Linked DNA regions of Drosophila melanogaster. The protein of the gene in region 1 interacts with the protein of each later gene in a pairwise test. Each region holds a gene or a part of one and is shown on either strand. Other genes may lie near its edges.

Evidence for each region.
Region 2: the proteins of Eglp2 (region 1) and Mst57Da interact in a two-hybrid assay, tested with the Drosophila melanogaster proteins (one large-scale study listed by BioGRID).
Region 3: the proteins of Eglp2 (region 1) and CG32588 interact in a two-hybrid assay, tested with the Drosophila melanogaster proteins (one large-scale study listed by BioGRID).
Region 4: the proteins of Eglp2 (region 1) and Cpr50Cb interact in a two-hybrid assay, tested with the Drosophila melanogaster proteins (one large-scale study listed by BioGRID).

The regions. Positions count from the first base shown.
Region 1 is NT_033778.4:23,612,198-23,621,269, reverse strand, and holds the start of Eglp2 (entomoglyceroporin 2), read left to right. Parts: upstream 1-4,515; 5' UTR 4,516-4,667; coding exon 4,668-4,759; intron 4,760-6,559; exon of another isoform or gene 6,560-6,803; intron 6,804-9,072.
Region 2 is NT_033777.3:25,829,575-25,836,069, reverse strand, and holds Mst57Da (Male-specific RNA 57Da), read left to right. Parts: upstream 1-4,170; 5' UTR 4,171-4,193; coding exon 4,194-4,421; 3' UTR 4,422-4,495; downstream 4,496-6,495. Other genes in the region: Mst57Db (Male-specific RNA 57Db), read left to right, coding at 5,166-5,288; Sfp96F (seminal fluid protein 96F), read left to right, coding at 5,859-5,960; Mst57Dc (Male-specific transcript 57Dc), read left to right, coding at 6,386-6,495. UniProt on the Drosophila melanogaster protein: Transferred from male to female during mating and may affect egglaying and behavior after mating.
Region 3 is NC_004354.4:15,204,003-15,211,014, reverse strand, and holds CG32588 (uncharacterized protein), read left to right. Parts: upstream 1-4,378; 5' UTR 4,379-4,459; coding exon 4,460-4,621; intron 4,622-4,696; coding exon 4,697-4,846; intron 4,847-4,924; coding exon 4,925-5,125; 3' UTR 5,126-5,208; downstream 5,209-7,012. Other genes in the region: CG5662 (uncharacterized protein), read right to left, coding at 1-559.
Region 4 is NT_033778.4:13,790,683-13,799,457, reverse strand, and holds the start of Cpr50Cb (cuticular protein 50Cb), read right to left. Parts: upstream 4,682-8,775; 5' UTR 4,520-4,681; intron 4,354-4,519; 5' UTR 4,283-4,353; coding exon 4,253-4,282; intron 1-4,252.

The DNA.
Region 1 (9,072 bases):
GAAGCTTCCGAATCATGTATTCGTTAGATGGCTAAATTCATTTCATGAATGATAAAACACATTGCTCGTAGATACTAGATACAAATAGGTCAAAGATACAGATGCACAATATATATTTACACAATTTCTTAATTATATGTCCAATAAAACCAAAAAGGTAAATGTGAACGACGTGACCCCTTATCGATTAATCCAATCGATTGAAATGGATTCAGCATGTGGTGTTTGTGTATCTTTGAGATACCCGAGCTCCATACCCGTGCTAATCAATCTGAAAACCTTTAGGGCACACTCCAAGCCGGCTTATATATGAATTACGTGTTTGGGCACTGATCAAAGCAATTGAAGGAGATGCAATAATTGTATCTCTCTTACCAACTTAAGCACACAGAACTGAGTTTTCTGCTCAAATTCGTGTGTAAATCGAAACACAACAACTTGTCAACACTTCAGACTTTAGTTAAGCCTATTAAATGCCCCAAACGCTTTGTTGTTACCGTCCTCGAATGTTTTGGGCCAGGTCTCTTTATTTGTTTGCCTTTTGTGCTTTTGTGTTTGTCTCTTTATTTGTAATAAATATGTTTGGCCAAAGAAGGGGGGATTCCAAGTCAAACTCGAAGTCGGAGTCTCGAGCGAAGGTGGGTTATTAATTTCACAAGTTTTGTCTGAGTTTTTCTACGCTGGCCAGCGCTTATCGGGTTACATAATTGTCGTTGCATTGTCTACCCCACGTTTTATGCAGTGTAATTATCGCACATCGGCGGCGACTTGGAGGGTTTCCCCCAAGGTTCTTGGACTATCATAATCAGGATAACCGAGAACTGACTGAAGAATTGCTGCGCAGGGGACGCGCCTTGTAATTGAGTAATTTCCACTTGAATTTCCCCTTTCAATGTGTGTGTTTCCTTTGCGACTTTGTGTGGGATTTGAGCAGATTGCTAGTCGCAGGACTTCTCCGTATCTATTTCCGTTTGCCTGTGGTCGCTCGGCCGGCTTTGGGGATTTTTGCGGTGGCATTACATTTAATATAAGAGGAATTCGTGGGGTTGGGTCTGTGGTCTGTGCCATGTGCTATGTGTTCTCTGCCCGGAAAGCTAACAAGTTGAGGAAAGCTAACAAACAGGGAGCAGATCAAGCGTTTGTGGCACATTTTTTTGGTTCGGGCAGCGTGACGCGTGTGAATTTCAATTTGAATTCGAAATTGGTAACAATGATGCGGCTCTTTTGCCCGCCTGACAAATAACTGAACTGAAGCTGTGAGGAGGGTAATAACGATGCCGTTGCAGAGACAAAAACGAGCAGACGTGCCTCCAGCATTTGTGTTTGTACCTTGATAGAATTTCAATTTGCCCGGGCAGACAATAAAAAATCTATTAAATTTCCATCTAATCACAAAAGCAATTAATCATTGACACTATTTAGGCGCTTATTAAGCGAAACAGCGCGTTGCTGGGTGGAGGGGGGAGGGGGAGAAGTTCAGATCCGGAGCTTACAGAAATGGGTGCATTGTTATGCTGATGCCTTTGTTGGAGATACAGAGATACAGATACTCGCAATGCAGATACAGATACAAATGAAGATACAAATGCGGCACAAGGCGACGGACACGTAATTACAATTCCTTTGGCCTGCGCGGTCATCATGTGTATAAAAAGATATTGTATCTGCATCCGTGCGCTGGCCGAGCGACATTGAATTATCATCTCTCATCTCCCATCTCCCATCTCCCATCTCATCACCCGTCTCGAAAAACGCCTTTTTCGGGGTTGGGTTCGACTCGGCTTGGTTGACAAACTACAAAATAATAATGTGGCATTCATTGTGCGGCAAAGAAAGGCGGAATGGGGATGTCTGGTATTGTCATGCAGCGACAAGATATTTACACAATTACTCGACTCGACTCGAGCTGGGGATATTTTCACATACTGATTTTCCATTTTGAATTTACGTACAAAGCTAATTTATCATCCGGTCGCGGCTCGAGAAACTGTAAAAACGCCGTGATGTTTTGTCCCGCTGAATGGATGCCAATATTTTTCCGTCCCGGCCAGTGCATAAGTATTATAACCGCAAAATAAATAACAAATATAACAAACGATGCGACCCAAAAGGTAAGTTTCGACCAAACCCCGTCGATTGAGGCTGTCAACGGGTACGCACAATAAAAACCTTTTGTCCCACTGCGTGAGATACTTTCAACTGCACGGAATCGAAGGGATATACATATGTATATGTACAAATACAAATGTGTATGGATATATCGTACAAGCTGTGGACATGGGCAAGTGCCTAATTATGTGGCCGAGTCAATTTGTTCAGCCATTCGACCCATTCCGACTCGTCGCCGCTTTTTGTTTGACTTTTCTCGCTGCGGGCAAACAATAAATGTTTTGTAGTGATTAAAAAGTAGTGTGAAATCGATTATACGTATACGTACTCACATTAACCAGTTCCAGGGCCTCCAGCACCACCAGCACCTCCTGCTCCTCCTCCTTCCAATCCTGCTTCTCATCGCTGGACCGGATACATCCGATCTCCGTCACTCACTCGCCTCGGCCGATTGTCAATATTTGGCCGACTTTAGCGATACATGTTAATTCCTGTTAATCGCCGTGAGTCGGTTATTTTTGATCTCTCGAATACGTCAAGTTAATGTCCACACGGCGCTGCTTGAAAATAATAGAAAATGGAGCGGATACTAATGCTAATGTTTAATTTATTTAAAAAGTTCTAAGCACTACATACAGTTGCTATCAAATTATGGCTGAAGTAATTAAGATATATGTAAATATACTGCATATTCATTTATATAAAAACATAATGCCTCATTTCTTTTTAATCGCTTACCATTTGGTTATATTTGGTATATATCCAATCTAAGAATTTTATAATTAGAAACGGAGGTATTATTATTATTTATGATCCCTAAAAAAACAACCCACCCCAGTAGCTACTTCCACCACTGGGGTTCATATATCACATCCTTTAACAAATGAAGATGTACATTTTATTACAAACAATTAGTTAATTATAAGAAGAACATTTTTCTACCACTGCTTTGTAAAGCTCTTACTAATTCCGTAATACCCCCTTTTAAGGGTATAAAAAGCTGGTCGTTAGGAAATGCAAGCGAAAGCTTGAAAAGCTTTCAGTGGCGCCATAAATACATCTTAAGAGCTGCGTTTGTTTTTGGAACCTTTGCTGAATGAATTTTCAAAAATAAATTTATAAAATATGATTCGTTAAGGAGAACCTAGAATAAGCACTTTCGCAAAAGAGTTGAAAAGAAATAGAAAATCAGAAAAATGCCCAAAAGTATGCACCCATTAGAAGAGCATCCGTAAAGTATGCAGTATCTTTTGAAAGTATCTTGCAGGCAATCGCAAACCCTTGTAACGGTAGTAACAGAAGTCCTATACTCCCATAAAATTCGTTTATGAATTCATAAACACAGTAAGCTCATTTCAGCTATCTATTTACAGTCTACTCACAGAACAAACGGTTATCATTTGTTTTTACAACCCGAGCAATACTCGTCCGCTCAATAAATTGCTTTCCGATAAGTGATATCGAAGCGGGCCTCCAATATAGTGGATAAAAAAAGAACCGCCCCCATTGCAGAGCACTAAAACAACCCCATCATATTGCACGCGAATGAAACTAATCAAATAAAAAGCCGATCTTTGCGTCAATGTGGAATTGCTATGGGGGATTTATAAGGCTTTTTTGTATAAATCCATACATGTACATACACGAGTGATAAACTCCAACTAGCATACACTGTGCGAAACAATGGCAAGCAATTGCGGCAGCAATTAAATGGGTTGCCCAAAAAAAAAAAAAAACCTCAAAGAGATCACTTCAATTTGTGATGACCCTCTACGTAATAGTTCACCGAAAACCTGTCGAATCAAAACAAAAGTCGAAAAAACACGAGGGCAAGTGGAAAATTTATGTACTCGACCAAGCGGATACCACGCAGACATTTTTAATGGATGTCCAAAGTAGCATGATCCCTTCGCAACGTAACCATCAGTTTTCACTGTCAGTTATTGACAGGAAAGTATTTGTAATGAAAAAGCAGAAATAGTCGAACATTTTTTGTATCTCAAGCCGTTTTGTGGGTAATCTTTTTGTGTGGAGTATTTAAGGCTTACTCATCCTCCAATGCTCCAATGCTAGTTCATTATCAATTTCAATTCGGTCGGGTAAAATTCCACTTGTGTAGTTCGGCTATATGGCTAAGGAAGTCGTTGATCAGACCCTCGGCACTATCTAGATTGACGCGCATCGCATTCGTTTGGGGTATATACCCACCTGGTGATTGGGTATCGTGTCTAATGGCACTTACGGTTTTTGCTGCCTCGATTTTATGGCATGCCTTTTTTTTTTGCGCGATATTTGATTTTGATGGGCGCTTTGGCTTTTGCTCTTCGGTTTTGTTAAGCGGCGACATCGACATCGACATCGTTTACTCTCCGCCAGTCAGCTATAGCCGTAGTATAGCTATAGTCAGTCAGTCAGTCAGTCGATTCATGAAAATTACCATTGCAAACGGGCAATTCAATTAGTTGCTACGCCGCGTCAAGTGCTTTACAAGTGGAGAGAAAAGGCGAATAAAGTAGCGACCAAACAATTGGAGTTGAAGTGAGGAATCGAGGAGGGAAATGCCAGTGCAACAGCCGCAGTCCGCGGAAATCGGTCATCAAATGAAGATGAGCAGCGAAGAGCCACCGAGTGGCAAACAAACGTGCAGAAGGTGCGACATCATTTGCTATTTATTACAAAACTATTTCGTATACCCATTTCTGACACACTTTCGGTGCCACGTTGAGTATGCGTCACGTGCGCATAAGCGTTGCCAGCCCCCCCCCCCTCTCTTACCAGGCAGCAAAAACAGAAAGCCAACATTTATTTTTGGCTGCGGCATCGAGAACCGCACTGCAAATACAAGAAAACACAAATGCCGCCGCATTTGTTTATTTATTTTGCATTTTCGCAGGCCGTTTAACCAATTTTCGGTGACTCCCGACGCGGCTAGACAGAAACGAAGTGTCCATAAATCAAGCTAGTCTGGCCTGGACCAGTAAATAATATAATAATAATAATATTAATAATAATAATATGGTATATGAGTATATAAAGTCCAAAGTGGATCGAACACTGTGTCACATGCGCGTGAGTTTACGATGGCTGCTCGATAAGCAACTCTCGAAAACATCAATCGCTTCTATTCGCGTCTTTGATTCGTTGCGGTTTCATTGAATTTATTTATTAATCTAGCGAGCTAAATTGCTTCTACCTCGATCGCTGGCACACATAGTTTCTATGTCTATGTTCATAATTTATTATCGAACTTCAAATGTGTTCCGCCGCTAATGCTAATGCTTTGGGTGCAAGTCGGCGAGTGATTTGAGTGTCAAGGCCACAAGGAAATCCGAATCCGTCATCGCGATAAAGCTTTCGATAAGTGACGTACCGCTGGTCGTGGATGATAAGCAATGCTATCTGAAGTGAGTGCCATGAAAATCCAGCCAGGAATCTTACGGGTAAGTTTTCCAATCACCGCAACCTTGAAGGTAAGTGTAAACAGTGCCATTAATCCCCGCTTCCCTCTTGATACGCTCTTATCAAAAAGGGCGCGCCACTTAAATTTTATGGATGTTTTTCAATTGACAATCACTCGCTTGCCACGGATTTTGTCATCTGTTGATTTATTTTATAGCACGCTTTTAATTATTTAATTTGGTCTATCTCTTGCTCTTCCTATCAGTTTTGATTTGTTTTATCAGTTGGGGAGCGCCACTTGAGACCAATTGAAGTGTTTTTTTTTTTTAGGTTTCACTACCAACCTCAGCATCTGAGGTGTTCTGATAATTGGCGGAAATATTAGGCAAACAGGTATGACTGTCATATTTATTCGAACTTATAATTGCACAGTTTGCATGACTTCCATGTGTCCAAATATGGGAACTTTGGGTTTTTAATTGTTTACTCGGGACTGCGTGACTATTGTGTCCGTAAGTATGGGTTTTATATTAGACTTTATTTGTTTAACTAATGTAAATAGCAAAGTTGTTTTAGAAGTGATGCACCTGTCATGGATTTAATGAGATAATCAAAGTTTAAATTGATAGATTCAGCCTCTAATCTTGTGAAATATCAAATATTTCGTTGGCGTTATTGAAAGAACTCGGTGAATCATGATGAGCGTGTTTTTTATTGATATCAACAAAAACCCGTTCCCAAACTCCACTGTCCACTGCTTTACACTGCTTGCCGGCTGCGAGCTGTTTGCGCTGCTTGAAATAAAGCGCATATCAAAGTGAACTTAGTTGCTTGATAACGCTATCAAAAGCTCACATCACCGGCGTAAGAACGCAGCGTCGACTGAGCAGCTGGCAGTTGGCGTTTTTCAGCAAGCTTCGCACTGCTTGCTTGTGCTGGAAAGCAGCAGCAGCATATAGCTAGAGCAATCATACGCCATGGTGTCCAGCTGCGACGCCGACTGCGCAGCCCACTCGCAGTCGATCGCGCGTATTTAGCTGGAGGCCTTTTCCACACTCAATAGCAAACAAACGATCGATCGGAACGCAGGTTAGTTTGGCTCTCCGTGGTCTGCTTGAGTGTGCGTTAATTAATTAGCAAAGCTGTCGCTAAATTTCATCAAGACTCAGGTGGGCAGAGAGGTGGCTTCGATATAAAAAGGCCTGCAGTGCGTTGACTGGCAGCACAAGTGGTTCGCAAAACGCGTTTTCGAATTGGCGCGCATGCACTTTTGAGTATCGTGATCTGCTTCCTGGGTAAATGAAAAAAAAGGGAAAAAAATAACACAGTGAAACAGAAAGTTGGTGGAATATTTCCATATCTTGAGGAGAGTGAATGAGTGAGTGGAGTGGAGTGCGTGTTTTCGAGTGCGAATTCTGCTTTGGCACGCGTATAATGGCCGATAAATGTTAATTTTATTCAAATATTTGACTATGTCTCGGTTATCTTGGCTTTCAGCATTCAGCTTTCCATTTCTGCCTTATCGCCTATCGTCTAGCCATAAAAAGTAGAGTTCCCACTCCCACAGCGCCGCCACTGGCTGCTTTGAATAGTTGAATAGTTGGATACTTGAATACTTGAATAGTGATCAAACAAGCGAAGAACAATCGAAAACACCCAGGCGGGCGGGCACATTGCCTGCACATTTATACGTTTATTAATATTGTTGTTTACCGACTGCCGCATTATTAACTGGTAATTATGTGCATTATTTAGCATTTGCACCTGATGATGGGCAAGCTTGCAGGGGCGAAGGTAATTGTCAGTGATCCCACGATTGCGCAACTATCAGAGCGAGTAATTAGAAGTTCAACTGCAATAGATACAGATATGACCATCATTCTACGAATGAAAGTGGGAGGACTTCTTCGTGTGACATTCATTTAACACTTGCCTTGTGCTGAAAACCGACTCTAACGGAGAATGTTTATTTTTAAAGAACTGTGCCATGCTTTTTGGACGTTTTGGCTTTTTGGAAAACATTTCCACTCTGTGTGCGCATACATTAGTTCGGTCCGCTTGTTCTACTTTAGCTTTTAGCTACACAAATATATGTATGTACCTATATATGTGTATATACATTCATATATGTTTGCCCCGACCATTGTTGTTTTTGTATACTAATTAGACGACGGCTGGTGTGGCGGTCTTATCAAAATTATCATTGAAAAATAAGTATAGCAACTCGATTGGCGGGGTCACACGATTCTCGGTTCTCGGTTCTATAAAATGAAAAGCGCCCTGATAAGTAAGAAACGGAATTTTTGGCCTTGGATCAGGCGATTTTGCATAGTGCCTGCGCCAAATTGATCATTTTATGATACCATAAGTAGCAATGTCTTATGTGACCACTTGTAAATATTTCAGTTTATCTTCTACATAGAATCGCGGCATTGGTTTGGCTAGCTTGGAATCGAAGTTTTATCTGCGCAATTCGAGAACTTGAACTCACACTCCCACCAAAAAAAAAAACGAAAAATGAAACCAAACAATATGAACATTTTTTTTCGGCTGCCTTGAAGGTCGCAGCGTCTGATAAAGTTGTTAGCAGAAATATCTCATAAAAGGGGTAAAAAGAGAAATACAAATTCTTGTTTATTTACAGATTATTTTACTTAAGTTTTGACATTAGAGGTCAGACTTTGAAAAGCGATTTCAATTGCTCCTTTTAAACAATGTTTAATAAAACAGATGATCTCATTAGTACGATGAGTTTAATAATGACCAAACTGTTCAAGTAATTAGTGACTAACTAAACGAAGTCTCGATTTTATATAAGTTGGCACATGCCTTCGATTAAGATCTTTTGGAGGGGGGAACTCACGAGTTTGTGCTAATCAAATTTGATAAATCAATCGAGTTGCGAATCGCGTGCACCATCGCCAGATCCAGATTGTTGGCTCTATTAAACGAATCGATCGAGATTTGGCCCAGTTGTAAAGTCACATCATATGATTGAGAAACCGGTCGGACACGGAACAGTTGGCCCGACTCAAATTGGGCCAGTTCAAGTGTCTGTTATGGCAGTTCCTGTATGGTAATTGTGCCTGACTTGGCCAAAACCCGGTGATTCTTCACAGTTGGTTGATGTCATTCAATCCCACGCCACCATTGTATTTGTGCTTGACAAACCGCAGCCACTCGGAACTGCGATTAACTTGGTTGCTTTGCCACTTGATAAGGTGCTCTGCCGTGGGGTTAGCAGGTTATCAACGGCGGTGTCCCAGCCGCCATTGAGCAGAGTGTAGTTCCAATTCAAGACTTTAGGACGGGGCCGTTGCATAATGCATGAGCTTCAGCCAAATTCCAGAGTCACTCCATCCTTATCGCCATTATCAAATGGACTGCATATACATACGTATTGCCAGCAAAAATAAAAAATATCACGATTAGAGGCCACATCGAACCATAAATTAACTGCTGACCAGCCTTCGTGGAAGAGCAAAAGGAATTCGTAGCCTAGGTCACTGCCGAGTGCTATCAGAGCAACAGAAATAAGAGTTATTTGCCAGTAATTAGCAAATT
Region 2 (6,495 bases), on another chromosome or scaffold:
TTTCTTTTCCTTTGGATTTTTTACATCCAGAAACTATCCACCCGAAATCAGTTTTTTGCCCAAGGAGACCGTCTATTTTTATAACTCCATTTTGCAGAATGTGAGTATATACGTCTGCTCCAATGATTAAATCAATGCGACCCGGTTTATTAAAATCGGGGTCGGCTAATTTAAAGTTCTTCCATTTTTTCTGATCAACATTAATCGTGTTGACTGGAAGTGCCTTCATAAGTTTTGGGAGAATAATTGCTTCAATTTCTAAATTTTTCGGAGAATTTCTTATCGAAATAACCGCTTTGTGCTTGGAGATGCACGTTCCTGTGGAAGATACTCCACTTATTTCAGTATGAGACCGAAATTTTTTCAATTTTAGAATCTGTGCAGACTCTTCTGAAATAATTGTGCTTTGAGAGCCACTATCAATCAATGCTCTTAATTGTTCAAAGCCTCCATACCTCGACTTTACTTGAATCAAGGCCGTGGCCAACAAGGCTTGACCTGTTGTTCTACACGTATTCACTTTTTCTGGATTATGACCTGCAAAGTGAAGTAACGTGTGGTGAGGTTTACGACAAGTCGAACAAAGCTGCTCGCTTATACATTTTTTACCAAACGGATGCCTCAGACATCTTAGGCAAATCCCATTTTTTCTTACCCAGTCAGACCGTTCTGCTGGATTCATTATTTTAAATTTATGGCATTGAATTAAATAATGCCCTGGTAGTTTGCAATATGCACAATTGTCACTATAATTTTTATTCTTGTTATTATTAATCATTTTCTTTACAGGTTTTACTTCCTGTGAGAATGATGATATAGAATTGAGCCTTTGCTCTAAAAAGTCCATGACATCAGAAAGTGCCTGTATTTCTTTTGTCTTTTTAACATGGCTTTCATATAAATTGAGTGATTCTTTATTGAATTTCCGAAGAATTATGTGAGCGAAAATTGCATCCACATCTTCTGGTAATTGTGCCTTTAATTTTATAATATAAATTGACTCGTTAATCGTGTCAATAAATGTCTTTATTTGCTTATTGGATTCTAAATTTAAATTTGGCATATCCATAAGCCTATTCATATGATCTGAGAATATGTTTCTTTTATTCTCATATCGCTTGGTCAAAAACTCCCAAGTGGCTTCATAATTTTCTCCAGAGCCGAGCAGTAAATGAGTAACCACATTTCTGGCTTCTCCTTTTAATGCTGACTTTAGATAATTAAATTTGAGAGAAGGACTGAGATCCTCTCTCACATGTATGAGCTCTGTAAAGAGTTCATTAAAAAGATCCCATTCTTTGGAATCACCAAAGAAGGTGGGAATCTGTATTTTAGGCAGGGTTGGTAACTCCTCCGCCTTAACAACCGTCGACATTTCAGCTTTATTTATTGTGCCACTGAGTCGACTATTAATGGCTGTAAGAATATTTTGTTTGTCAAATTCAAGTTCGCTAATTTCTTCTTCGAATAGCGAACTCTCAAAATGACTATTCACCTGTTCAATCAGGTTATCTATTTTATGCCATAAAAATTCAATTTTATTTTTCCTTATTTTAAGGAAATCTGGACTACTGTCTATTAGTTTAGACGTATCTTCTAGATATACTCGAAATTGGCCAACATTATTACGAAATGCCTGCTCTACTTTTAAAGCGTTGTTTTGTGCTATACCCTCTTTTTCAGGGTGACCACGCATTTCAAGGTTTAATGTAGGGGGAGGGTTTGATTTAGGGACAGTGTTTGATTTAGGGAAAGTGTTTTCTACCGACTCGCCCTTAATTTTTTCATTTTTATTTTTAATTTTTTCTAACACCATCATTATTAAATCATACTGCTTCGCGTTAAAATATTCATGATCGACAACGCCGATCTTTAACAAATTGCTATGATTAGCAATGAAACATTTTTGAAGCTCATTTAATTTTAGAATTTCTACATCTGTTAATGTTGGTTTTACTTCCAACTTTCTAATTTCCAAAATAATTTCGGACTGCTTCTTAAGGAATTGAATAGTCTTTTCTGACATCATTTTGAAAATTTTTTGTAATTTCTTAATATATATAGTACGTGTATATGTATTTTATATGTATTTATATATATATGTGTGTTTGGATAAACAGAAAATTCTTGTTTTGACTTAGCTGATGTCGTTGTTGTTGCTGCTGCTGTTGCTGCTGTTGTTGCTGCTGTTGCTACTGCTGTTGCTGCTTCTGCTGCTGCTGTTGTTGCTGCTTCTGCTGCTGGTAGAGGCTCCTTTGAATTTGACTTCCTTCTCTTCTTTAAGGCTCCGTCGATGTTTAAAGATGATTTTTTTTTTTTTTTTTTTTTTTTTTTTTTTTTTTTTTGGCACGTTTTATTATTTTTGTAGTCCAGTCAGATTTTTTGTTTTTTAGCCATTTATTTCGGCATTTATGCTCTTTTGGCATATACACTGCACTCTATTTATGAGCTGATTTAATGCTATTAGAGCATTTATAAGGCACTGTTTTCAGGCACTTTTTATTTAATTTATGCTCTTATGGCATATACACTGCACTCTATTTATGAGCTGATTTAATGCTATTAGAGCATTTATAAGGCACTTTTGTTATGCACTTTTTAATTCCACAATTGCTGATGTATGGCCTCAAGCACGCCTTACCACAATTTATAATGGTACACAAAGCAACCTTTAGCTATAGACTATAAGGTGCTTGTTTTAAAACATAAAAGATTCTTTTGTATCTTTTGCTTTTTATATTTATACTCTGTTCCTTACCTTTGGTAGGGGGAAACAAGAGTCACTTATTTTTGCTACCTTTAGCTGTAAGATGCTTAAAGGAGCTGGCCTTTCTCTGAGTTCCTTACCTTTGGTAGGGGGAAACTGCAGAGTCGATTAAAGGCTCGATTGACCAAATGTAAAATCCCAAATAAGAAGACTTTACTCGTTGAGTTTTTGTAAGAAACTGATTTTATTTGGAAATATCTTCGGTTTAAATAGGTGACATGAGAATCGCATCTTAAAGTAAATGGCCTACGCAGAGGCCTAAGTAAATAGTCCCCGCCTTATCGAGGTCCCACGCTCGGGCACATCTGCCTATCTTGAGCGGCGAGGACCTTATCTGTGGTCTCCCACTAAGGGACTATTTTAGGAGGCGGGGAACGATCTCAAGTGACTGACTCATGTAGTGTGCACTTAAATTACATGTTTTTGAGCAATGCACCCATGTCGCCTTAGATAACAAAATCCTAAATATAATTTATCGCTCTCGATTCATTTACATAAGATATGAACGGAGCCCAAAATTGTAAGTCTTTAAATATATTCGTGTTCATGTGTGAACAGCCCTGATCAGCGGATCTCCACTTGATGGGCGATGAGTGGCGCCGGCAAAAAGTACAAATACAGTGAGGCCTGGATTGTGAAGGGCGGCCGATTCAATGGCACAGGCCTCCCGTGCCGTCAATTGGACCACAGAGCTCTTTTCTATCCGCTTGAAATTCGTGGTTTCATGGAAGAATATATTTTGTCCACGACTTGGCTGCTTTTTGGCCTTAAGAACATCGAGCAGGGGTATGACTGGAATTTTCTTAGAAACCTTGTCCAATTTGAACTTGGATTGGTTGGCCACCGACTTGGCTGCCTTTTTGGCTAAGGAATTCTGCACGTGCTTTTTATTCTTAGCCTTGCTATCGATGAGATTTGCTTTCTTCGTCGAATTCGTTAGTTCTGTTTGTGCTTTCGGGTAAGCATGATTGTATGCTATCCATTTGTAGGTTAATACGATGCTGAGAATCAGGAGCAGAGAACCTACAACGATTAAAGTTCGTGACACTTTCATTATGAGATTTTTAGACTGCACTTCAACGTCGTAGCTTACGGTTAACTAACAGCCAAATTCGTTTCACTTCACACACGAAATTGTGATTGTAACAGCAATATGCAAGAAAAAAATATTTTGTATGATATTTTGAAAGCTTATGCTCTATATTTTAAGTAACTTATGCTTGGGTTCCACTTAATTCCTTTTTTTATATATCAGCATAATCAAACACATGCCAATGATAATTACATTATTTTCCTCGAATGAACCACGTATAATAAGGTCAAGCGTGTCGAATTTGAAGATTTGTTTCACTTGGCGATCTTTTTTGCCTATATAAGCGGTCTTGCATTTCCTCATTTCTTTTAAATTGACTTCCAACTGGCCGATATGAAGTTCCTAGCTCTTTTCGTCACTTTGCTGGTTGTTCTGGCTTTGGTTAGCGCCCAAAAGAGCCAGAATACAAATCACAACGTCATCGTCATCGGTGCCAAGAAGCCAGGAGCTGCACCTGCCGCAGCAGCTGCTGCTGCTCCTGCCGCACCTCCTGCCGCAGCTCCTGCCGCAGCTCCAGCTGCTCCTGAAGCAGGACTCGCAGATGCTCCAGCCGAAAGTTAAATATTATGAGTCAGAGGTTATTTTCTTCTAATAAAATGGATCGCTAATCACAATATATGTTTATGAGAGTGTTTAATCTATGTATTACAATATTAAACTACATGGACTGACTTTTGAAACCCCAACCAGACATGGGAGTAGATAGTAACCAGACCACTGCTGTCATAGATCCTTCTGAAACAGGTGTGATTATGAATTGGAATTCAAACAACAAAAAGGTATCTTCGGTTCAGTAAATTTCATTTACGTTTCCCAATATTGTTGGGAAAATAATAATTTTATTTTAACTGACTATTGTTATCACGACAAGTCATTGAGAACTGTGGTAGATAGTAACCAGACAACTGCTTTCTCATATCCTTCTGAAACAGGTGTGATTATGAATTTGAATTCAAGAAGAAACTTTTTTTTTCGGCTTAGTAAATTTCATTGGCGTGCTTTTTAAAAATGCTTGCTAAAGACTAATACTAATTTTATGAAATCAAGAAAGATTTCTATCGCCGTGCCAGGTAAGTTCAGATTATATAAATGTTTGTCAGATTGACAAAAGGAATCAAGTGTTATTTAAATTGTAATCGGTCTATTATGTCTCGGGTTTAAGGAATTAGTTCCACTTCTTTTTCTTTCATCGTGCAATTAATTTCAAATTGTCTGGCATTTAGATTAGTATCGCTTACGCAACCCAGGCCTTATAAGAAGAGCACTCCCCTAGCTTGTCATTACTTCCAATTCCAACTGGCCGACATGAAGATCACCTCTGCACTTGTTCTGCTCTTTGCCGGTGTGGCTTTCGCCCAATCTGCGGATCCGAACACCAACGAAAACAAGAATGTGATCCACATCAATAGTCCCAGCGCCGCAAAGTAAATGAGCTTTTGATAATTGCAGGCACAGAATTCAATAAAACATTTACTTAATTGTTTGCATGTAATAGCAATGGCCTATTTATTTTATTTTAAGTTGAAATATTAAATCTATTTTAGTATACAAGAATATACCATATATATTTTTTCATAAACCTTTTGTTCGAAGCTTTGTTTGGCCAAAACTTATTAATGGTCATGGCTTTTACGACTAGTCACAATCTGACAGTATATCAGATGTTTTTGCCTAATTATATTAAATATAAATTTTAATATATATATTTTATGCTAAAAACGCAAGTGTTTCAAAAAGCGCTGATACCGAAACCAAAGGTGCCAATGCCAAATGTACCAAAACCAAATGTACCAAAACCAAATGTAGCAAAACCAATTTTACCAAATGTAATATTCAAAAGATTTGATTTTCGTACGACCGAAAGAAAAATGATTTAACGATATTAAAATTGGCCACCGTTTAAAAGAATTAAACGATTCGCTTGGCTTATGCAACACTTGGCTTATAAACTATATAAAAACCGGGTCTGTGTTTTATTTCTATTCTCTTCTGATAGACATGAAGTTCCTTGCGGGTTATTTTTTGCTGCTTATTGGCTTCGCTGTGGCCCAAAAAGATGCTGATTCCAATGTGAATCATAATGTAATAAATATTAATTAAACAACATTCTATGTTGTGAGAAAAAGAATAAAAGATTCTATAAAATGTGAACTTATTATGTTTTTTATTTATTTGTTATCGTTTAATTTGTGTACAAGCTAATTATTTTATTCTCAAATTAATGTATATTAAAAAGCATTGATCAAGGATTTAAATATATAGTATATTTGGAATAAACTGGAGATATAAAATATAATTGTCCTGGTATTGGATCGATAATCGGTTGATAAATCCGAAGCAGTAGAGAAATATGTTTTGGTCATATACTAGGTTATATAACCCCTATTGTAATAAACCATTTCGAATATCTATAACATATTTTCCTTTAACCAATTCAATTTGTTATGCCAATTAACGATTTCATCTCATGTTATTTAAAGCAACTACAAAGAATATCAATCGTTAGCATTCACCAAGTTGTAAAGATGCACGGAACGCACTTTTTGATCCTGCTTCTGTTGTGTGGAGTCCTGGGATCTAACGGTGTGACGCCCGACATTAAAAACGTGGCAAAGGCCGAAAGAAATATGCACAA
Region 3 (7,012 bases), on another chromosome or scaffold:
ACCGGTAGACCTTCAGTATCTTCTGTGCGTCCTTCTGCTTGGCAAACCGGCGAATCGTACTCAACGGCCACGGATGAGCGGCTGCACAGCGCGTTGCCGTGTAAAGTTGATAGTTTACCTCATCCACAAAACTCATATGAATCTCCGCCAGGGTGAAGACATTCTCCACATAGCTAACCAGACAGCGGATGTTATCGCGCTGATCCTCGGACATCCAACTGTCCAGGCAATTGCCGCCTTGCACGGCCTCCACTTGGGCCACTATTGGCTCGAATTCCGCAAAAGTCTTGACAGGGCCCAAACGGAGCAGCGGCAGGTGGGTCAACCGGCCACCTGGTGACATAAACTCTGCATTGTCGCTGATGTGCTCCGTAAATGGTAGGTTGCACATGCGCAAAAACGTCTTCACCGCCAGGCAGCTGGAGCGCTCCGGCAACAGGAGCTGATTCGCCTCGGCCGGCTGATGCAGGTGGGCGTCCGCCGGCCACGCCTCCTCCGACTTGCCCTCCTCCGCCGACGACTGCATCAGGGCGGCGGTCAAGTTTTGTTCCAACTCCATGCTTAAAGTGCCGAAAATTTTGACTGTGGGTTTCTTTTTATGGAATTGTTGAAGTGACAATTGTGGCAGTGATGGCTATATTAATATTTTCATATATTGTGAGAAAGAATTTTTGTTTACGTTTCATCAGTCAACTTTTGAGTACATTACTGCTAGAATTCGGAATATTATAAATGGGTTGCAAATAAATGTTAAATAAAAAATAAAGAATCTTAAAAGCAAATTCTTCCACAATTCAAATAAAATAAAAGTAATGCATTGTAAACTTACATATATGACTTTATAAATTTCAATAATAAACGCTGTAATTCCCACCTAATTAATATGACAGGAGCCAACAATTATTGACGAAACTTACCTAATTTTCGTGTCTGATTTATTTCATAATTTTATATTTCCAGAAATTTCCCTTGAACTTGTTTACTTTCAGTTATGTCTATCCATTGATTGTTTTTTGTTCATGCGTACAAGCAGTTGTTAAGTGAAAGCAAATATATGGCATTTAAGCATTTAATTAGTCTGCAATGAAAGGCATTGAAACTTGAAATGTGCAATTAGCAACGAATAAATGTGAAAGCAAATAAACTATACTCGCAATTAGGCAAATAACTTGAAATCAAACTGACAGAGAGCAATATTCCTACATTGGACTTAAAGAGCTGTCTGCCTTCGTTTCATCGTTGACAGGATTCACTTTTCCACAGAAAAATCAGTTGTGTGCTTTGATGATGGAAATGTTTTGTGAATTTTCTGCTCGACTGGACATTCAAGCAATTAATCATCGGCCACCGCCCTTCCACATTCCATTGGCACCCCCACCAAAAAGGTTTCGGCCCACTCGCCGCCAAATTTTTTTTCTACTACCGCCCGCTGGTTTTTGGCCGACAGCCTCGCGGGAACTGGAACTGAGGATGATAAATTGCTCGGGCGGAGCATTATGCACAGTTTTGTGGCTCCTCTGATCCAGGACTCGAGTGCTTCCGGAAATGAGGCAAAAGTTTTGGGCGCTCTCTATTCGAACGTTTCATGGATCATCAGGTACGAGAAGCTGGCGGGCTCTCCATGATTGCTAATTGAATGGCCTTGATGATACAATACATCGCTACACGGAAAGAAACTCGAAATACTGCACCAAATCGAAAGTTCTAATTTAACAAAGAAACACTTTAATGAAATATCGAAATAATAATTAAAATAATTAATAATAATTAAGCCCGTTTACCATTTGTTTTGTATTGAAATGTTTATTTTAAAACATTTTATTATACTTCTAGGCAATGCTATTTGAAATAACCAATCTGACTTGCGTTGACAGCTGTGAAAATTGCGAGCTTCGATTGACGGATTATCCCATTTTGGGCGGACGCCTTGGACCTGATTAGTATGCCCGCGAAGTTCGAAAGCCGAGACTAATTTAACGCCAAGTAACGAATTTTGGATGAGAGTTTTTGATTTACCAGCCACGTTACTGGGAAATGAAAGAGTAAATATACGAGGGCCGTGGCGTTGTCGTTGATTGATTCGGTCGAGGGCTACTGGGAATTCCGTCCAATCCATTGACAACCAAGTCGCAAAACACTGCCAAATTAATTAAGCCACACAGAGTAGGCACTTCGGAACCGAACCAGTGATATCTAGCCATTGTGGGTTAAGGATTCACGATGCTCGGTATGCTCGGGATGGCAAGGATGTTGGCCTGGTTGAGACATCGTTTCGGCAACAAAAGCCAACAAAAGGCAACAATTCTTACCCACTAATAAAGAATAATATGACTGCCATAAAACTCAATTTATTACCAAAATGTCGACAAGCAGCAGACTTTTGTGCGTATATGTGCCACTGTGTCTTATTCGCTTTCTCCTTTCTTATTTTGTGTGTGTGTGTGTGCGAGAGTTACGACCTACGGAGAAAGGAGGTGAAAGCAGAACGAATGACGTACGGAAGTGGCAAACAGCAAAAGTTTATGCTGCCATTTTTGTTTGGCAATTTTCTATTTCTATTTCAATTCCAAGGCGTCGTTTTATTTGCATTTGGTGTGAGAAATGTGTGCGCGACTTGCGACCCTAACTTGCCCTCTTACTTTATCGGCGATACCCTGTAATATCGAGTGATGTTATTTTCGGTTTTAACTGTTTTAGCATTAGTTTAATTAAATATAATACACATATTGTATAGTATTTGCAGTGTATGTGTAAATGTGTATAAGCAATGCAAAAGTATAAACATATTCATAAAACAAGGAAATTTAAATTGTGTTGAATTTAGTATAGTGTTTACATTTTGATTGCAATGACTGTGAAGCACATATATGTACATATGTACACAATACCTGTTCATCCAACAACTTAATTAAAAAAAAGTAATACTCCAAGTTAATAATTATTATTTTTTTATTTTACTTAACCCTTAGGGTAAGTCACGTGTTGTTCCACCGAATTTCTTTGTACCATCGTTATTCTTGGCTTTTAACGTAATTCTTCTGCAGGACTCCCTAGCTCCTTTCCTTGTCTTCTTCTTCCTTTCCTGCACTCGTTCCATTTTCATCCTTGCTGTGCAATTTTATTTGCTATTTCGGTTTTGTGCTCCGCCATTCCATGTTGCTGCTTGTCTTTATTATTATTTTGTTTCTACAGTTGGCGATTTGTTGCTTTTTGTGTTGGTCGTTGGACGTTGGCATTGTTGGATGTATTGTTGGCCATCTCTGAATTTTGTTGGCCAGCTGTTGGGCGCACTTCACCCGGCCGCTTTGTGGCCACAATTTGGCGGAGTCCTTGAAAGGAGGAGGTGAATGGTGAAGACAATCCTCGCTCTGGACGCCGCTAAATAACCGTTTGGCTGAGCTAATCCACGGCCACATTGTCCATTGTCTGGGAAAGATAAGCGGCCATTGGACGTTTGGTAGGACAGTGGGACACCAACAGCAGATGGTGTGGCACCGGGACTCGGACAAAAGGGGAATCGTTGCCAGGACCAGGACATAGATAAGGCCATACCGCTCTACCCAGATTTCTGCAATAATAAATTTATAAAAATATCTATAAGCTGCCCCCAAATGTAAAACAACATACAAGTTTTGTTCTTTTATTAGTCTTGGGCATGGTTTACACCGCGTATACGTAATGTGAGTAACACTGAGCTTTGAACATTTGTCATAAGCCACGTAGTCCGAACAATCTACCAGCCAAGTCAATCGTTTCTTTCAGATATCTGCTTATTGAACAATTTCTTTTCCCCAGACATCCAGGCAAATGCCAACTGCAATGTTCTGGAACATTTGCGGTTGTCCTAATGGAACCATTACGTCCCAGATATACATTAAGTAGGATGGTGAATGAAATGGAAAACCTTTTATGTTACATTAAATTTGACTGCGTGCCGAGTGACAGTGTGGTAAATGGGTAAATGGGGTAAAGGGTCGGGCTCTGTGTCTCCGTGTCTCTAGGACTCCAAGACTCCGTTTCTGTGTCCTGGCTGGCGGGCTTGTCAAAGTTGTCGCAACATTGTGGCGCTGTCAGTGTCATTGTCGCTGCAAATTATGGCGGCCTGAATGCGTAAATGATGCTTAATTAACATTTACCCAGATTCCAGCCATGCGAAAGCCATGGAATGTCGACGGCGCGGTGTGTGTGCGGTGTGTGTGCTGTGTAGAGTGTGGTATGGTGTGTGGAAGACCCGGCCAGAAATTGCCAGTTATTCGCATTTTCAAGACAAAAATAAGCTACCAAGAAGAAGGCCAAGTGTCCTTGCACAGCCAGCGGGAGTAGTTGGCCATGATTTAATGCCCAAATCGTTTTCGATTTTCATTCATTGCCTTTCAGTCAGTCATCCCCTTTGACTTGAACGAAGCACCTATTTATACATTCTTTTATAAATTTGGAAAATTTATTTGTACATTTCGGCATGACATTCTTCGAGCAGATCAGTGATCACTTTTGCCGCGTTGTGCACACCAATCTCAAGATACCTCTATCATGTTGCGAAAGGCGCATCAACTGGAAAATCTCGAAAAGTATCGATTTATTGGTATTCTTTTATACCCTCAACATCGGTGTCCTTCGATTGGTGAGTAAATGGTAGCCCTTTATTTAATGGTGGGCAGCAAGTAAAGGACTAATTGCACCTAACCAAAATTCGTAGTTAATAAATTTTATAGATTTCATGATCGTTTTCTTCGGATGGCCAAGCAATCTTTTGATTTTAAAGGACTTCAATTCGCGGCGCTTTCGAGCCCTCACACACTTTTTACTGGTGAGAGCGTACATGCTAATGATATACTCCATTGTATTTGTAAGTACAAAGATTTACAATATGTACACACTTATTGTACCATTGTAATAAATTACTGCAACCATTGTTTAAATCCAGATCACTCCGCATAAGAATAATATCTTCGTTCCGCTTTTTGCCATCATCATGACCATCGATGTGTATGTCATTAAATTAGATATGAAGCGACGTGGATTGATGCCTCTGGAGCGCAGTGTGCCCCCCCTATGGGAAATATTGATCAGCTTGTGCTGTGTTGTTGCCGGGCAATGGCTGCTCAAGTATTTGATCTTTCATTAGCGTACGGATTTCATTGTAATGTTTTGTTCGCCTTATAATTGCTTTTTTTCTGAAATATACATTGAATACATTGTCACTCCTCTAATGCTGCATTCTCAATTCTTCACGCGAATGTCTGTGGACTCCTTGCGATGACTGTATAGTCTCGATTTGACAAATGTTTTCATTTTAATTTAATTTTGCTGGCGACAACTTTTTAATTGCCAAGTGGCGAAAAGGGCACACATTCGCGATAAGTGTTACTCTTTTGTTGGCAAGTGTAAAAGTTGTGAATAAAATTACACAAAGTCAGTCAAAAAGTGGTTAGTATTGGCAATTAGGATGTAAAAACTATGCCTTTTTTTAACGGTTTGGCCATTTTTTTAATCTTGAAAGCCATGGAATGTGGAGGGTGCGTTGTACTCGCGTTTTCAAGCCAAAAATAAGCAACCAAGAAGGAGGCCAAGTGGAGGAGCGGGCAGGAAGAAGCTGACAAAGTGGGCCGAAAAGGTGAACCGGAGCACATTGCGAACGGAAAGATTGTAACAAAGCCACAAATGGATGCTACACGGCGAAAAAAGTCGACGAAATTGATTAGAGATTTGAAGAAGAAAGATTTGGCAAATTCAACAGTATTTTTGGGTAACATTGGTAGCTATAAAACTAAAAATTAAAATGTATGTAAACATATATAAATATAATAATGATGTGATATAGAACTTATTTCTTTAAAACTCAATTGCACCTATTGCAATAATATAATCATTTCTTTATCACAGTTTTTTCTGTGTATAAATGCAAACGCATGCAGCTCCACAAATAAGTTTTCGCCTTGTTCGGGTTTATCGGCACTAATTGCAATGCCGAAGAGGCATAGGGAACCCCTTTCGCTTGACCCTAATTAAACCATAAGTCAGATTAAACCGGGCTCGCAGCCCTGGCACGCACTCATGAAAATCACTTAGCCGAATTAGCCGGGGAAAAACGAGATGCTGGCCAGGCCAAAAGCGTGACGAGACGAGGCGAGCCGGGACGAGACATTACGTCAACGTCAACTATGTGGCATTGCTCTGTCCGCCCAGAAGGAGAAGTGGTTAAGGATATGGCGGGATATATAGATATATGCGGAGAGGGTGGTGAAGAGAGGGGGTGGGTCAGCCGTAGGCGGGAAAGGACACGCTTTTAATACAATTAGAGCGCTTAAGTTAAGTGCTCCCAGACTACGCAGATGGCCAGATGCTCTGATGCTCTGATGTTCCTCCGGCTTTTCCCCTACACCGATCTCGGAGCCAATGGCACTTTAAGTTAATGGCGTAAGCACAAACGACAGGGGCGCCCCCAAAAGAGGGCTAAAGGAAAAGGTGGTAGGGGAGGGGGGGGACCTGGGCTGGGTTAACAACAAAGGATTGAACTTTGTTAGGGACAAGCGGTAAATGAAATGAACTACAGGTGGACAGGAAGTTGGGGCTGGTTTTGCTTTCGGTTTAGTTGGGGATTGGGCCAGGACCACTTGGGTTGGCCCAGGTTAAGTTGGGTGCCAATGAAAGCACGAACGAGGCAATAAATAAGAAATAACATGGCTCAGGAAGAGTATGAGGCTCGCAGATGCCCATTACTTTTAAAAAGTTCATTTGGTAGAGGTTTCAACATTTATTTCATTGCAATAATTGAAGTTCATTATCTAAACTGTTAATTGAATACTAAATAATGCAGTAATATAATATATATACTATATCTGCCAAGAACCAGTTCCCGCAGAATCATTTAATTTCTCAACAAAAGTTAAGTTTGCACGGCACCTCATTTCCCAGGGTATCATTTTGACGCGCTCTTCGTCAGCTTTGCACTTGGACCAATACCTACGCCCTGATTAGAGCATTGTGCCATTGACTAACGGTGACCCAGACG
Region 4 (8,775 bases), 9.8 Mb from region 1:
TTTCTTTTCGCCTGTTTATCGGCAGATCTTCAGCTAGTATGTTCCTCTTCTACACTACATTAACCCTATTTAACCCGAATTAAATAACACACTTCAATGCACAAAAGCCGCCGGCTGTCCATAAAGATATTAACCTTTCAAATACCCAAAAAACGGGTGAGAAAAAACTTATAAATTATATGCTACGATCGAATACTTCAAGTAGTTGTTTATGACCAACTATGCATTTGCAAGCTGTTCATGTGCAATTACTTAAAATGTTATAAAAACTATGTGGGAGCTTTTTTGTCTCATAAAAACCGATTATTAGGTAAATGTGGTATTATGGTTGAATTATGGATTTAATTAGTTTTTAGTTTCTATGCTTATAGTTTTGGTATAACCATTTGATGTATAACAAAAAATCCAAATCGAATGAAAATTATGAGCTTTTTTTAAGCCAAAATTGTTGTGCAGAAACCACAACTACCGAAATTGTTGCACACTAAAAACCAAGTACAACTTTTTCCAGAACTATTTCTCTGCCATTTAAATGCTAGAATTTCGGTTAAAAACCCCAGTGAACTAATTTTCCAATTGCCAGCTGTTGTGGACCCACAAAAGCGCCGACGAAATAACACTTGCAGCCAGAATAGTGCAATTAAAAATTCCTTGCCTAAGGGAAACGGAGGAGAAATGCCTCTTATTCACATTGCGCATACGCCACGTTGGACGCTCTGGTTTTGGTTGGGCAATTAGCGAATTCAGAGGCGGAGGCTGGGCTTTTGTAATCAGCTGAAATTTCGATTTAATTAGATTACCACACAAACACACACACACACACACAAAGGCGCAGATGCTTGGCTGGTTACCATTTCCCCGCAGAAGCCCCTCATCCAACTCATACTACATATATGCTGCTGCACTTGCCGCTTGCTCAAGCGTCATTAATTTTTTGCCATTTGGGTTTTCTTCGCTTGGATTTTTTTTCCCCCCCGCATTCGAGCCATTGCCAAAGACAATAAAACCGCACAAAGCTACAGCAAATATCGGTGAAGCCGCAAAATTGCATACTTCCAAGGCAGAAGAATGGGTCTGAGCGCCCATTCGACGACCCCCGGGCTCAATTACCTAAGCACGGATCAGCTTTGAGGCAATGCCAATCGGCATCAAGCGAAATCTGGCAAATCTGCCAAATTATTTCAATTAAAATTGAATTTGTAATGCAAGGGTAGAGCCTGTGCGAAATGACGAATGGGGGAATACGCTGCTATAAATTGGAAGTTTATAAAAATAATAATGGGCTTGTTGTTTGAAATATTTGGATTCACGGATGTGCAACTTCTATTGATAATTTGATAATTTGTAGAATTTTAGCAGGAGCCCAACGAAATGCAAATATCCCTTTGAAATACCCTCCACACATCCAACATTCATTGGGCAATCGCTTACACTCGAATCGCCAGCAGTGCAGCGATGAGCCAATGAAAGACTTTTGGCCAGACATGCGATATATTGGCCATAATCAGGCGGCTCTAATCAGAATCGGAGGCAGCATTGCATTGACCCATGCCGGCATTCACAATTGCCCATTCGCTGCGGCCGGCGAATGCAACAATTCAGCATTTGTAGAATGCAGAGTGCGGAATGCAGAATGCAGAATGCAGAATTAGCAGCTTCGACTTTCGGCTTTTGCCAGCTCATCATCATCATCAGCAGCAGCAGCAGCAGCAGCACCATCATCGGACGGACTCAAATATCAAACTGTGAATATTTTAGGTTTGTCATTTGAAATTCAAAAGCGTGCCCGAATGAATGCCAGTCAATGCTACCAATCGTTTCTCGAATTCTTTGCCACCAGTTCTGCAATTTTCGCGTGCGAAAATGAGCAGCTGGAATCATGGGCATTAATATGCAGCAGCAGTTGGGCATTACTAGCTGGTGTGGGTGCTCGACGTATTCGTACTCTGTACCCTATAGTTGGCTAGCTGGGTAGTTGGCCAGTTGAGTCTCCCCCGGGCTGAAATTAACATGTAAAACATGCTCGCCCCGATGTTCTCAAAAGCCCGTGCACTCGACTGGCCAGCGGCCATTTGTCTATCGAGTGTCTGCCTTTTGGTGGGCGGATGTGGCAGTGGGTGGTTGGGCTCCTGGTTTTTATTTTTGGCTTGGTACGCTTCCGTGCCTGCTGTTATTCGCCCAGTTCGGGCCAAAACAAGAATGGTAAAAAAAAAGGAGAAGAAAATAAGGGGAATATAGCGGCATTGGGGAAATGGAGAATCGCTGGTGAAAAGTCAAAAAGTTACAAGCGGCAAATTACACGCGTCTGGCTGGAGTTCTACACTCTGCTCTCAAACTCTATTCCTTTGCTATCGTCTGGTGTACCTTTTGGAAGTTATCTGCTTGGCAGACCAGACGCATCAGAGATGGAGGAGTGCACTGCGAGAAAAACCGCTGAAAAAAAACATGGCTAATAGAAGAACATTTAAGATCTAACACTTTGGCCTCAAACATTGCATATATATTGCGTTTATTTTAACTACTAGTTATGCTCGTCCATTAATCACGATTACGTTAATCGTAAAAATTCATTCGAGTAATTACATGATGTATGACCAATTAAATTTTAATTAGATATTGATTATGTCTTCTTTGAAAATCTTCATACATTTGAATGGCTTTCATTGAGTACCTATTAATATAATTTTATATCTCAATCTTTTTAGACACTTTTGGTTTTTGAAGAAATCTAATTTTTCTCCTGTGTGCTCACGTAACGCGGAATGGGCGGAGGTACATTGGATGGATTCCAGACAGTGTGGTCTGCCGTCTGGACCTGCATTGCATCCAAGTGTCGCACCAACAATTTAACACGCCCCAGTTACAAAAAATAAAAGGACATCAAGGAGCAGCCAGCGAAACTCGCGTCTGTTTTATTTTGTTGCCTGCTTAAGGGCGTCGTCCCAAAACGCGATTCAAAATGCTTTAACAATGGCGAACAAGTGAAAGTATTTCGCAGTTTACAAGTGTGCTCTTGATTGCGGGTTAACTTCTGGACTTCCAGGAAAAGTATTCAATACTGTAATTTCACAATAAAATTGTGAGAATATGGAGAATTTCCAAAGCGAAATGTGTAAATTAATAGGTAACAGAAAGGATTTTGGATCACCTAGAAATTTCTTAGTTGCACAACTCTTTCTGTGTCAATTTACAGCAATTTGAAACAAATTATATAAATATTTTTACGAAACTATATTAGTAAAGTATAAAGTATATTTTTCAACAATTTGATGAAAAAAAACTTGTGTCAATTTAGCACCAGCTAAGAAAAGTTTGCCTACAAAATAAAGTCAAGTTGGAGCCTTATATATTTGCAATTGTTCAAGGGGAGCAAAAAGGTTTGCAATTTTCCTCAGATGATGCCTAAATACGAAAGGGGAAATATATTACCAACATGTGTCCTCCGCCTTACAACCTTTTAGCCTTCTCCGAAACTCAAGTGTTTAGTTAGGAACAATCAGGGAGTATTGCTTAGATTTGGGGCGTATTTTACGTGGCACTTGGCAAACGCAGATGTTGCCAAATATTGAATGCGTATCCATGGAGGAGTACGTACAAGTACATATGTATATATATATATATATATTAACCAGAGCGGAGTGGAGCACTTAAGTGTCTTTGATTATTTGCAATTTGTTCGATTCGGCGGGGTTACTTTGGCCCCTTCGCCACTTGACTTTCGTGTGTGTGTGTGTGTGGACTTGGGTTTTGATTATGATGATGATGATGAGAGGCTCTGTGGCAGACGTGTGGCAAGTTATGCAATCATTTTCGTTGCCATTGACGGCAAGTGTTACCAAAAAAAAACGAAAAAAAAGGAAGGCAAACAGTTTGCCAGGCACTTGAAACAACCAGTTTGATGGGTAGTTGCCTTCAGTTCTCCTAGCAAATCTCATTTAAACTTTCCCCAAAAGCCGCAGCAGAAAAATGACATTGTAGACGAAAAAGGACACTGAGTGACCACGGGTCATTTTTCCCTGCCAGCGATAAACAAATTTGACATATAACAAGCTTAGCTTGCTGGCCTTTCCACACACATACACATACATGCAAACATACATACATATATAGTTTCGCTTTAGCCAAAGGACACGCCTGCGAAATCTCATATGATTTGTTTGGCCAACTGATTTATGTAGGCTTAGCTATGTTTTTTTTTTCCAGGCCCAGAAATACATGTCCTTGTTTTATGTACGTATGTATAAATACTCACAAGCAGGACGAACGACTTGAAGGACATCATTTTGTTAGTTGAGTTTCGATTTTACGTTCACAGACGATGGCAAAAAGTAGTGTATCCACAAACGCCGCTGGCTGAAGTTGAAATTGAATTGAATTAAATTAAATTCATTAGAGTTGTCAATTATTTCATTTATATTGTTTCGAGTTAATCGAGTGTCTTTTGTGTTATTTTTATGATTATTGCACACTATTTAATTTGTAGTCCTTCGCTTGCCACAATAGTTGTATTAACTCTTACTTTCACCGGGCGGGGGAGGGTTTTATTTTTTTATCACCGGTTGGATTTCTCAACTAGGAGGGGGCCTCAGTTAAAGAGGAGGTGGTTTTATCTTTTTAGGTTCGGCTAGATTGATTTCCTAGACAACCGCACGAAGTACACGAACGTTTTGAATTAGGTTAGACAATGGAGATGCGCTTGCTTTTTATAATAAACGCTCAAAGACGCTGGCAGCGACGTCGGCGGCGACGGCGACTGCGGCAGCGGCGGTAGCAGCGGCGTTCGCGTTGCCAACTGCACCTAAAAGTAACGAAAAAGCGGTTTGAACAATTGAGGCAAGTCTAGCGCCTAACTTCTAGATCATCTGCCTCCGTGGAGCTGGAGCCAAGAGCATCCACATCCACGAGTCTCTCAGAATGGCCCAAAGAGAGCGCAGCGTTGCTCTCACCGTTTTGGCCAAGTCTTGGTGTTGAGGTGGTGAAAAATGTTGCAGATCATCGCCGTGGCACGATCATTACGATGATGGGTAACGAGATGATAAATGAATGGCTGGCACGATGATGATGAAGCTCGGGCGGATGTATAACAAGATGAGTTCGAGTGGAGAGCCTGCAACGCCCCGAATGACTTCATTAAATACTCGGCCAAATTTGATATTTAAGCCAAGCTTTTATGAAGTCTGGGCCCTCGGGCGATGCAGTTGCCATCGAGACGATACGAAAATGTCACTGGGAATGTCAGATGATAGGTTTCGTTTTAGCCTCCAAAGATACAGTCGCCCTTTTTCGAAATATCTATATATTTATTTTTGTTTGTTTTTTCTTCTTTTTTTTTTTTTTGCCATTTGGCCTTTGGGAAAGCATCAGAACATAGAATAAGTTTGGTGAGAAGTACGTGATGCGGTTGCCCGGGGAAAATTGCACAAGCTGCACAAACGTGTTCATGTGGCGTCCCAATTTCCCGCAGCACCTCTGCCAAAATGCAATCTATGACGTGAGGCTCATGCCAAAGATCCGTAGCCGAGGCCCCGAAACTCATCCATTGGCCATTGCACAAGGCTGGCAGACGTGTCGAGTGCCTTTGGGCCAACTTCCTCCTTCCAACCAACATCAACCGCATGGCTCCTTTTCTTCCGTCAGGCCTCAAATCCCATCCCATAACCAATTAACCTTGAATGTATCACAGCGCCTCTGTACGAGCCGAGATTAAATAACAATTAAAAGCAATCCGATGACTGATTTCAGAGTTTCTTCACATTTTTATTGACCACTTGCGAGGTGGCGATGTGTGCGTGCGTGCGATATTAAAATTAGATATTGAAATTATTATGGGGAGCAATCAATCGAAAATAGCTACACTTACAATCAACCCATCTTATAATCAGTGATGCGAAAATCTTGTACCAAAATCGAAATGTTATTACCAATTACACTGGGCTATGACTAAAACTATTATTAATATAATATTATATATTTGTAATATTAGATATGGTATTAGTTTTCAATAGCTGCAATCTTAAAGATACTCTAATATCTCAATATCTTATTTTTATAAGCAATTTTATTAGATTTTATTAGTTTGGTACCCATTTTCCAAGGTAACATTTCGTGTACCTAAGATGTTACCTCTATCAGCGCCGCTTACACCTGCTGGCAATCTTCAATGGACCGCTGTGAAAAGTAATTGAACAACTTTTGGTTACTTTTAACTTTAGATTTCCGTGACACTTGAGCTGCGGATACACATGTGCGCGCGTGTGTGTATGTGGTGTGTGTGTATCTCAAACGGTCTTCTTCACGCGGAGGCGAACGTACTGTCAAAACGATGTCTTAACAACATAATACCCGCCGACAATCGGGGCCAACTGGCAACTGAAAACTACCAACTGGTCCGATTGTTCGGATTGTTGGGATTGTTACCCATATCGCAAACTCTGGGGGCAAATTGAAATTTCTTTTGAGACGCTCTCGAAATCAAGTGCAATCGTTGGTAGCTGCGATTACGAAAGGATTTCGACTTAAAATGTAATTAGAGCAGTGTGATGGGGCGAATTCGATATTATATAAGGCCGCGCTGAAAATTCCCTTTTTGATTTGTTCAACAATAACTTGACATCAATTGGGCAACTTTTGTTTCGCTGTCATTGCCTTTCGGCCGGCAGCTGTTGCCACCGTTGCAGTCTCGGTTTCTTCGGCATTTCGATCATTTTTCAAAACGTCCAAAGTAATAAAGTTTTGCAAATTTCCCGCTTTTAATTCATCAAGTGGACACTCGAGGGCTCCGGCTCCAAAGCAATGCGAAACGGAAGCAAAACTTAGTCAAACATTTCGTGGGCTTCAATAGCCATTTGTGCATTATTTCACTTATTTTTTCTCGTTTCTGTCGCCCAGCTGTTGACATTTTAAACTTTATTGAATTGTTGCAGGCAAGTGGAAGACGAAATAAAAAAAAAATTAACATTTAAAAGAACAGACTCAAATTCTTCGGCAGAAGCATTTAAGATGATTTTTTCCTCGAATTTGTTTTGCCCATTTCGTGCAACATTCAGGCGAATCACCTGTTGATGCTTGTTGCACGTTGTTGCTGCTGCCGCTGCTGCTGTTGCTGCTTTTAGTGTTGCAGTTGCTGTAGAACCAAAATAAATTCCAATAGCCCCAGTCAGGCGCACCTTTTTCAAGCTAAAAATGAGTGAATTAGAATAGCCAACTATGTAATTGCCGCATTTTATTGCCACCAGCATTGGATGTTGCTGCTGCTGCAGCAGTTGTTGCTGTTGCTGCTGCCATCGCTGGCATTGTTAGTGTTGTCGCGACCATTGTTGCAACTAAGCGCGGTGTTTTTTTTGTTGCAGCGGCAACTTGATGTTGCTGCCGCCATGGCCCTCTGAATTTGGTGTGAGAAGTGGTCGAAAACGCGGCGATCTTTGTTTTATTTTCCAGTTTTGAGTCCAGACGGATGATTTGCATTTATTTCGGCGCGGAGGCGCGTTTCTTACCATTTGCTATTTATAGACTAAATGTCTTGGACTTCTGATGGAATAAATGGAGTTTTCGATAGACTCGCGGTGAAGGCGCATCAAATGTCGTCCGATTCGCTTGGCATTTCCCCCACGATCATCGATTTTCTAACTGGCATTCGAAGTACAGGTAAAATAATTTGCATAATATATTTCTTAAATTTTGTTTTGTACTGTTCCTGCTTGTATTAATTTCTGCTGTGCTCATTAAAAACTTGTAGTGTAATGATCGCCTGAAAGTTGCTAACGGCTTCTTTGATTGCTTTCATTACGGCCATCTCCTTTTGGCACTTCCTTCTGATTTGATTTGATCTCTTTGCCGGAGTTTCCTGTTGATTGCTCTCATTATTCCAGCGAGCAACTGTGATAAGTTTTTCCAGCTATGCTGCTGCTACTCCTGCAACAATCTTGGGGCTAAAGTCGAGCTTTCCCTGTCACTTGCCACACTTGCCACCATTTTTCTTAATGGAAATTTTCATGCTCTTGGCTTTTCTTTAGACAAATTAAGCGAATTTTTTCTGCGTTCACACCTTCCCCAACTGGTGCATCCTCATTGTCATCGTCATCTTCTGCACTTGCGTTCATTGCACCCTCAAAAAAAAAAGCATACACACACACACACAGAAAAGAAAAAGAAAACGGATAAAACATAAGACCTGAGGAAAGAAGAATGAATTCGAGGCAGAAAAAAGTTGTGGAAAACTTTGCACCTAACATAAATCACATCTCAGACCAAGTCAACCGCCCCTTGGCCACGCCCATTGTCAGTGTGTGTGTGGGGCTGCATTTGCATATTCCAATTTTGCATTTAATCAATTTACGCCCACCCACCCACACGCAAAAACACTGCGTTACAATGGAGGATGGCAACTCTGGCAGCTAGACAATTACCAGCATTCCCCGACATCGCCTGCCTGCTCGCATCATTTATCCTTGTTAATTTTTATTTAGTCAGTCAAAGGAGGGAAAAAATCCCTCAGCTTCAGCTTCAGCTTCAGATTCAGCTTCAGTTTCCCTCTGGGTTACATCCCGAGATCTTGAGCGATTGAGCCGTAACCTGCGTTGACTTGTTTACGTGTTTTCTCCGGAGCACGGATACAAAAGCTCAACAACAGATACGGATTCATTCCGGCAACTCTGTGGGTGGGTGGCACCTGCAGTCCATTCGGCATCTGACTGACTGCAGCAGACGGCGAACAAGTTAAGCGGAAACGGGGGACAGAGGACGAGGGACATCGGAACAAGGACGAAGCTGATTGAG